Linked DNA regions of Lonchura striata. The protein of the gene in region 1 interacts with the protein of each later gene in a pairwise test. Links are inferred from orthologs where the notes say so. Each region holds a gene or a part of one and is shown on either strand. Other genes may lie near its edges.

What was found. The genes of interacting proteins can lie anywhere in the genome.
Region 2: the proteins of membrane-spanning 4-domains subfamily A member 12 (region 1) and MALL interact in binary tests that used the Homo sapiens proteins (3 or more experiments, as listed by UniProt). The two-hybrid records come from large-scale screens. The link is inferred for Lonchura striata from reciprocal best matches to the Homo sapiens genes MS4A12 and MALL.

What each region holds. Positions count from the first base shown.
Region 1 is NC_134608.1:53,779,028-53,782,749, forward strand, and holds membrane-spanning 4-domains subfamily A member 12, read right to left. Parts: upstream 3,012-3,722; 5' UTR 2,946-3,011; coding exon 2,856-2,945; intron 2,658-2,855; coding exon 2,538-2,657; intron 2,231-2,537; coding exon 2,174-2,230; intron 2,056-2,173; coding exon 1,924-2,055; intron 1,587-1,923; coding exon 1,473-1,586; intron 1,389-1,472; coding exon 1,305-1,388; intron 1,052-1,304; coding exon 1,031-1,051; 3' UTR 633-1,030; downstream 1-632. Other genes in the region: membrane-spanning 4-domains subfamily A member 15-like, read right to left, coding at 137-211. UniProt on the Homo sapiens protein: May be involved in signal transduction as a component of a multimeric receptor complex.
Region 2 is NC_134605.1:27,654,603-27,658,345, reverse strand, and holds MALL (MAL-like protein), read left to right. Parts: upstream 1-1,344; 5' UTR 1,345-1,353; coding exon 1,354-1,455; intron 1,456-2,508; coding exon 2,509-2,676; intron 2,677-2,884; coding exon 2,885-3,013; intron 3,014-3,345; coding exon 3,346-3,408; 3' UTR 3,409-3,687; downstream 3,688-3,743.

The DNA.
Region 1 (3,722 bases):
CCTTTTTCTTCCCTGAAAATAAAGAAATTTTTAGGCATTGCTGCATGGATAAGGTTTGGGAGCGCCCCTCAGCACCATTCCCACCACCCAGGATTGTGGGAACAGGGAGCACATGACACCAGTGTCCCCGTGTCACCTCCAAGAGCGGCTCCAGCCCCGGGGCAGCTTCTCCGGTGGCGGAAGAACCGGGATGTGCTGGCGTCACCGGCATCGCCGCCAGCTGTCCGGCTGCTCCGGCTGAGCTAAAGATAGCAGAACCGTGCTGGAATGGGGGGGTGGAGGGGGTTTGGGGAGCGCAGCTCCCTCGGGAGACCAGGTACCCTGGTTTAGAGAGTGGAGTTCCAGCAGGAGAGGGGATTAGAGGGGCAGAATTCCCTCAGGAGAGCAGGCACCAGGAGTTTAGAGGAGCAAAACTCCCTTGGGAGATGGTGCCAGGGGTTTAGGGGAGCAGAATTCCTCTCAGGGAAAGCAAGCAGGTACCAGGAGTTCAAGGCGGGCAGAATTCCATCAGGAAAGAGAGAGCAAGTATCCCTAAATCAGGCAGGATGAGCCTCTTTCCTGAGGGGCAGCAGCTCTGTGAGGGGGGAAGTGTAGCTCCCACACTGAAAATTCCCAAATTCAAGAGACACAAGCCCGGAGAGAGCGTTTATTCCCAAGAGAAAATGAAGCCAACAGGGGACGAGCCGAGGTAGATGCTCCGGTGACCTGCCCGGCTCCCAGCACACATCGGGGTCACTCCAAACCACCAGGAATTCCTGAACCCCAACATGAGCGAACCCCAGCATCCCGCCAGGGATTGACAGGCAGGAATTGCCCAAGATTTCCCCCTTGGAGAAGCCCTTCCCACAGCAGCCAGCAAGTGGAGCCCCTCAGACCAGGCCCAGGGGCAGAGGGGCAGGGAATTTGGGGGTGTCCCTGGCTTTTGAGGGGGGACCAGCGCATCCCAGCCGGCAGCACAGTGGGAGGAGGATGCCGTAGCTCTGGGATTTAGGAGTGATGGAGGCAGGATCCCATTCCAACATCCTCGGTGTCAAACTTCAGGAGCAGCTAGCTGCAAAGAGACCAGGAGGTGTTTTGGAAAGGGGGCAGGATTTGGGGGGACCCCACGCTCAGCACCCACCACCCACGGAGGTTTGGGATCTCCTCCCCATTCCCAGAGCAGAGGGATGGATGCTCCAGGATGCTCCCTGGGGATTGGGGTGGGATGTTTCCCCAGGGAGGGGACAGCGATGGCAGCATGATGGGGACTGTCATCCCAGGAGCCATCCCAAAGCTGATTCCGCCCCTATCCAGGCTTGGATCACCTCGCTGTAGCTGGGAGGCTGAGGCAGCTCCGCCGGTGGCACGGCCAGATCCACACGGGTGGCACTGGGGACAATCAGCATGGCCTGGGGAACACCAGGATTATGGCAGACACTGGGATCACGGGATGCACTTTTTGGGATCCATCCCTGCCACCCCCCTCATCTTACCTCGTTGGAGCTGAGGCGGGTGGCCCGGCACCAGAAATTGGCAGTGGCCACGGCGATGCAGAATTCCAGGATGGTGAAGATGAGCAGCACGATGGAAATCCCATTCCCTGCGAGCTCCAGGAGGGGGAAAACCCCGTCAGTACCCCCCCAACAGCGCCCACGAGGATGAACCCCACACAGGGCAGCATTCTGTGGCTCCCCCTTCCTTTCCCTCTGCATCCCTGGCTCCAAGGTCTCACTCCAAGCCCTCCATGCCACGTTTTTATGGCTCATGGATGCATCCAGGGGGTGACTCATCTCCCAAGGTACCAGCCGAAAATAGGTCGTGCCGGCAGAGGAGAAACCGCCACCCCAACAGGAATTTGGGAAAGGGCACAACACCCCTTGAGGGCTGGAGAAAAGGCCGTGGGAGGGTTCCCAAGGGCAGGAATTCCACCAAGTGGGATTTTACCAGGACGAGATAGCTGTAGTAGTTGAAGCTGGAGCGGTAGAGCCCGTTGAGGTTGAGGTCCACGATGAAGGCTACGATTCCCAGGAGCGCGAAGATCGCACTGATGACGTTCATGGTCTGGCTGCCCTTCACCTGTGGGCACCCGGGGGGCTTTGGGGAGGGGGGAGGGTGGCAGACCCCCCCAAAGCACCAGGGGGACACCCCACCTCCCCCATGGGATCACTCCCGGCGGGCTCCTGGGAAAACTCACCGCGCATTCCGTGGGGCTCTTCTCAGCGCCGATGGAGAGGCACCCGGAGATGATGAACTGCAGCAGGAGAGACGGGGCTCAGCTGGCGCTGAGGGCACCCCAAACCTGCCCAGAGGTAGCACAGGGGACATACTGACCCCTCCTGCCCTTGATTCCCAGCTGCCGAGGTCATGGGAGCCACAAGTGCATCATTCCCTGTGAGCATCCCTTCCAATGGGCATCCCACCTGCTGGCATCCCCCCCAGCAGAATTCCCTTCCCTGTGGGCATTGTTCCCTGGTGCGATTCCCTTCCTGGTGGGCAACCCCTCCCACCCCAGGCGGTCTTTCCCGGTGGGAATCCCTTCCCAGCCCCCCGGCACGTACAGACACGCCGCCTAGGAAGGGGATCTCTCCGATGACGAAGACGGAGGTGTAGACATTGGTCAGCGTGGTCAGGACGATCCCGAAGCCGATGTGCAGGAATCCCGTCATAATCTGGATGGTCTGGAAGAGCGGGATGGGTGGGAACGGGGTCAACTCAACCCCCCTGCCCACAGAGCCACCCTGGGGATGTGGGATGCCTTAATCCCAGCGCCTCTCCGGATACACAGCACCCCTCGAGGGATCAGCAGGAATCCCTCGGGAACGGGCTGAGGGAGGATTTTCCAAGCGTTACTCCCCCCCCGACCCCCCCAAACTCACCCCCATGACGCGGTTCTTGCCCTTGGGGAGGGTCTCCGCCGTGTACATGACGGCGCGGCTGCCCAGCCGGAGGCTCCCCATGCCCTGCATGAGGAGAGCGGGGGGCACCGGGACCCCCCGGAGCAGCCCCGGTCCCCACCGGGGCCGCCCCTGCCCCACCCCGCCACGGCCCGCGCCCATTGGCTGAGCGCCGTGACGTCACGGCTGCGGTATCCCCCCCCCGGGGCACCGCCCAGCCCACGGGGGACACGGGGGGATACTGGGGACAGCCCCCCCAAAACCCGGGGATGCTGGGGACAGGCTCCCCAAAACCCGGGGATGCTGGGGACAGCCCCCCCAAAACCCGGGGATGGCGGGGACAGCCCCCCCAAAACCCGGGGATGCTGAGGACAGCCTCCCCAAAACCCGGGGATGCTGGGCACAGCTTCCCCAAAACCCGGGGATGCTGAGGACAGCCCCCCCAAAACCCGGGGATGCTGGGGACAGCCCCCCCAAAACCCGGGGATGCTGGGCACAGCTCCCCCAAAACCCGGGGATGCTGGGCACAGCTCCCCCAAAACCCGGGGATGCTGGGGACAGTCCCCCCAAAACCCGGGGATGGCGGGGACAGCCCCCCCCAAAACCCGGGAATGGCGGGGACAGCCCCCCCAAAGCCCGCGGATGCTGGGGACAGCTCCCCCAAAACCCGGGGATGGCGGGCACAGCTTCCCCAAAACCCGGGGATGACGGGGACAGCTCCCCCAAAACCCGGGGATGCTGGGGACAGACCCCCCAAAACCTGGGGTTGGTGGGAAGTGGGGCTGGGAAGATGCTCCGTGGGGTGCCCTGGCTCTGTGGGGCAATTCCCAGTGTTGGCCCCCCCCACTC
Region 2 (3,743 bases), on another chromosome or scaffold:
TGCTGCTGAACAAGAAGGGCAGCCAGCTTAAGGGAAGAATCCTCTCTTGTCCAACCAGTGACCAGTACGTTGCTCCATTTTTAGATTGTTTGCCTGTTCTTCTCCCCCACTCAGAAGGCTGGGTTACTCCCAGGAATGTACCTGACCCAACACAAATAGCAGCTGGTGGGAATCCTGGGAATGCTGTGTTCCCCAGGATTATTTCCTCTGCTGACCCCTGAGCACCTTGTGACCACAGGCTCTGTGTGCTGCCCATGGGGAAGTGATCAATCCACTTTCTCTTTAGTGCTGGACCATCTGGATGCTTCCTGCAGGGTGATGGGGACCTTACCACTGAATCACACCTGGATTTAAGCCCAGGCCAGGCTCAGTTTTGTCTGGCGAGATTTGAAACAAGATTTTTGAAAACCTCCACTGCATGGAGCCAAAGCCAGCTCCCACTGGAGTATTTGTAAACAGGAGCCTCCAGGAATACCACAGAACACTTCCCCCAGCCTAGGAAGTGCTCAGAGACATGGATTTGATCTTTGCTCTGTGTTGTGCAAGAGCTTGGCATAGAAGCCGAGTTCCTGGGGCATCACCTGTCTTGCCTAGCAGAGCTGGAATAACTCACTGTGACAGTGTCTTCCTCCTGCTGTAGCCCGTTGCCCGGGTTAATGGGTTCATTCTGTCCTCTCTGGGCCACCAGGCAGAAGTGCCACCCCCAGCCCTTCATCCCACCCCTTTTCTGGGAGTTCTGGGGCCAGGCAGAGTGCACTGGATGAGACAGCAAGTGCTTCCCGAATCCAAACTGCATTTGCCAGGAGGCAGAAATTCCTGCCGCTCCCCTTCAAACCTCACTGGGCTATCGGGAGCACATTGCCAAACCCTTCTGGTGTGTTTGTAAAAATTTACCTGCTAGTTTCTGAAGGTTGGATGTGCCTGGAGGGTGTGGAAGGGTCTGGCGTGACCGTGGAGCAGAAACCTGAACAGAAAGGGGAGGAGGCAACAACAGTGGAAGCAAAAATATTTCAGGATTGGAAGCGTGCCAAGAGAATCGTTTGCAGGAAACATTTATGTTCCGTCAAGGTGTAGGAAGTTTTTTTCCTTCCCCCTCCAGTTAATGACCTCGCATTGGTGCGTGGTGGGGCCGGGGTCCCGCTCTGTCCCATCCCGGTTGGCAGCGGGATGCCCAAAGCCGCCGCAGTCGCAGGGGTGCCAGGGGCTCGTCGGGCTGGGGCAGCGGCGCGGTGCCAGCCCCGGCCGGTTCCTGTGCTTACGTCCCGCGGGCGTGTCCCTTAAATCCCGCATGGGAGCGGCACGGGACAGGCAAGCGCCAGCGGAGCCGAGCGGAGCGGTGTCAGCGGAGGAGAGATGGCCTCGGTGGGTCCCTCCGCAGCCCCCACGCAGCCCGCTCTGCCCTCCGGACCCGCCGTCTTCAAAACCATCCCCTACGCCTTCATCCTGCCGGAGATCGTGAGTATGCCTCGCTCCGCTGCCTCATGGAACCCACTCCTGGCTAAAAATCCCCTGAAACCATCCTGAAGGCATCGTTACTGGAAAGTGACATCTTGTCTTGGAGCTTATGCTGAATGCACAAAGTATTCCTGACGAGGTTTTTAGGAACAGCTTGAGGACAAGGTACACTCAGCTCCATCACAGCCTGTGTGAGGGTCACTGGCTGCCGTGGGGCTGGGAGAGGCTGAAGAGCTGATGGTTCATCCAGGGCAGACTAGCAGCTCTTGTTATCATGAAGCAGCTCTTGTTAGCTTGTAGAAATGGCTTGAAAATCAAGGGAATTTTGCTCTCTGTATCAAATCGGTCTAGGGGTTGAAGGCAATTGGGCGTCTGCTAATGTGTGATGACATTCCATGATTCTTTCAATTGCTTCTGGGTACAGAGGGCATCCAGGGGACCAGCCAAGATTTTAGCTGGTGTACTTTGTCATGGTGCTGGCAATTCACACACCCTGTGCTCCACAGGCACAATCCTTCCCCGTGGTGGCTGGCTCAGCTCCCTGCTGCAATTCCAGGGCTTTCACCCACCACAGTTGGGATGGCACAGGCTCATCCCAATAACTCCATAGGCTTTTTGTAGTGAGTAAATATTTTGGGTGGATCGCTCCAGGCTGGTGCATGGAGCTAAGAGGAGACTTCCTTGTGCTGCAATTCCAAGCCCCAGAGATTAATGAGCGGGCAGGGCTGGGTTGAGGCAACTTGCTCACTTTTCCCAGATAAAAGCACATTTTCTGGCTTCTCCACCAAATCTCTCGGGGTGAGACATTTCCTTGTGTGGAAGGCGGCAGCAAACCCTTCCTTTTTGTGTGAACACTCATTTCCCATGAGTTTTCAGGGAAACCAGTGCCAACTTGCTTGCTTGTTTCCCAGAGCACTGGGATGCTCTGGGAAAGATGCAGGGGTTCTGCTGGCTGCTGCAGCTGGCCCAGGAGGGAGGCGAGGAGGGAACTGGGGAGGGAAAGGGCTTTTCCTCATTCCACACTCATCAGAGGCACTTGATTGTCCCTGGCAGCTCTGTGGGACCTGGGTGTGGATCCTCATCGCTGCTACCTCAGTCTCCTTGCCATTGCTGCAGGGATGGGTGATGTACGTGTCCCTCACCTCCTGCCTCATCTCCCTGCTGCTCCTCTTAAGCTACCTCCTCGGCTTCCACAGGAACAGCGAGAACTGGAAAGTGCTGGTAAGGAGGGGATGGAACACGCAGACGGCAGCAGCAACGTGGGTGCATGACCCCGTGGCTGGTGACCCACTGACCCTTTCTTCCTTTTACCTTGACTGGAAAGTCCAGGGGAGCTCTGCTGTGAAACCACTGCCTGGGAGGGTCCAGTCCCAGGCCTATCCAGGCACCTGTCCTCCTTTGGGGCACTCACAGGTGCCTTGTTTTGCAGGACAGTTTGTACCATGGCACCACAGCCATTCTGTACATGAGTGCCGCTGTCCTGCAGGCCAATGCGACCATCAACTCTGAGTTCGGCGACAATGCACCACTCAACTACCAACTCAACAGCGCTGCATCGGTGAGTTCACCCTGCCGAGCTGCAGGACACACACCCTTGGAAGGGCAACAGCATGTGTTAAAGCCACAGCAGAGTCACCCCAAGCCCCACAGTGCCAACTAAGCAGAGTTTCAGCTCCACAGCTCTGTGGATGGTGCAGTTAGCGTTGGTTTCTCAGGGTCCACCAGTTCACGGACAGCCTGACATGGCTGGATGCTGGGAAAACTTAGGCTTTGCCTCTCCTTTGAGGTGGAAGGAGCTCTATGCTGGGAGGCTTCCCCATGCTGAGAGCACTGGGAGGAGATGGGGTTTGACTCTGCCAGCTGACCCTTCCTCTTCTTTCTCTCATGCAGTTCTTTGCCTTCCTCACGACCTTCCTGTACATCCTCCATGCCTTCAGCATCTACTACCAGTGATCCTGGCAGCACCAGATTCACCTTTTCTGGATGAGGGCTTTCCCAGTGTGCAAGCCCCAAGGTGTCTGCCTCAGCTCTGTCAGCAGGCCTCAGGAACAGCAAGTCCTTTTGCACTTCATCACAGGAGGGATTTTGTTGGCACACGTTGGTTTGCCTGTGGGACATTTCCTGCCTTGCCTGGGGGAGGGACTTGCAAGGGGAGGGACTGGGCGCAGGCCCCAAGCCTCCAATATCCACATTCTGCCAATATTGACAACCATGGGAAGAGGAAAACAAAAAAATCACTGTTCCTTCAGCAAACAATCTCCTTTCTTATGTTATTTACCTTTCTCTAG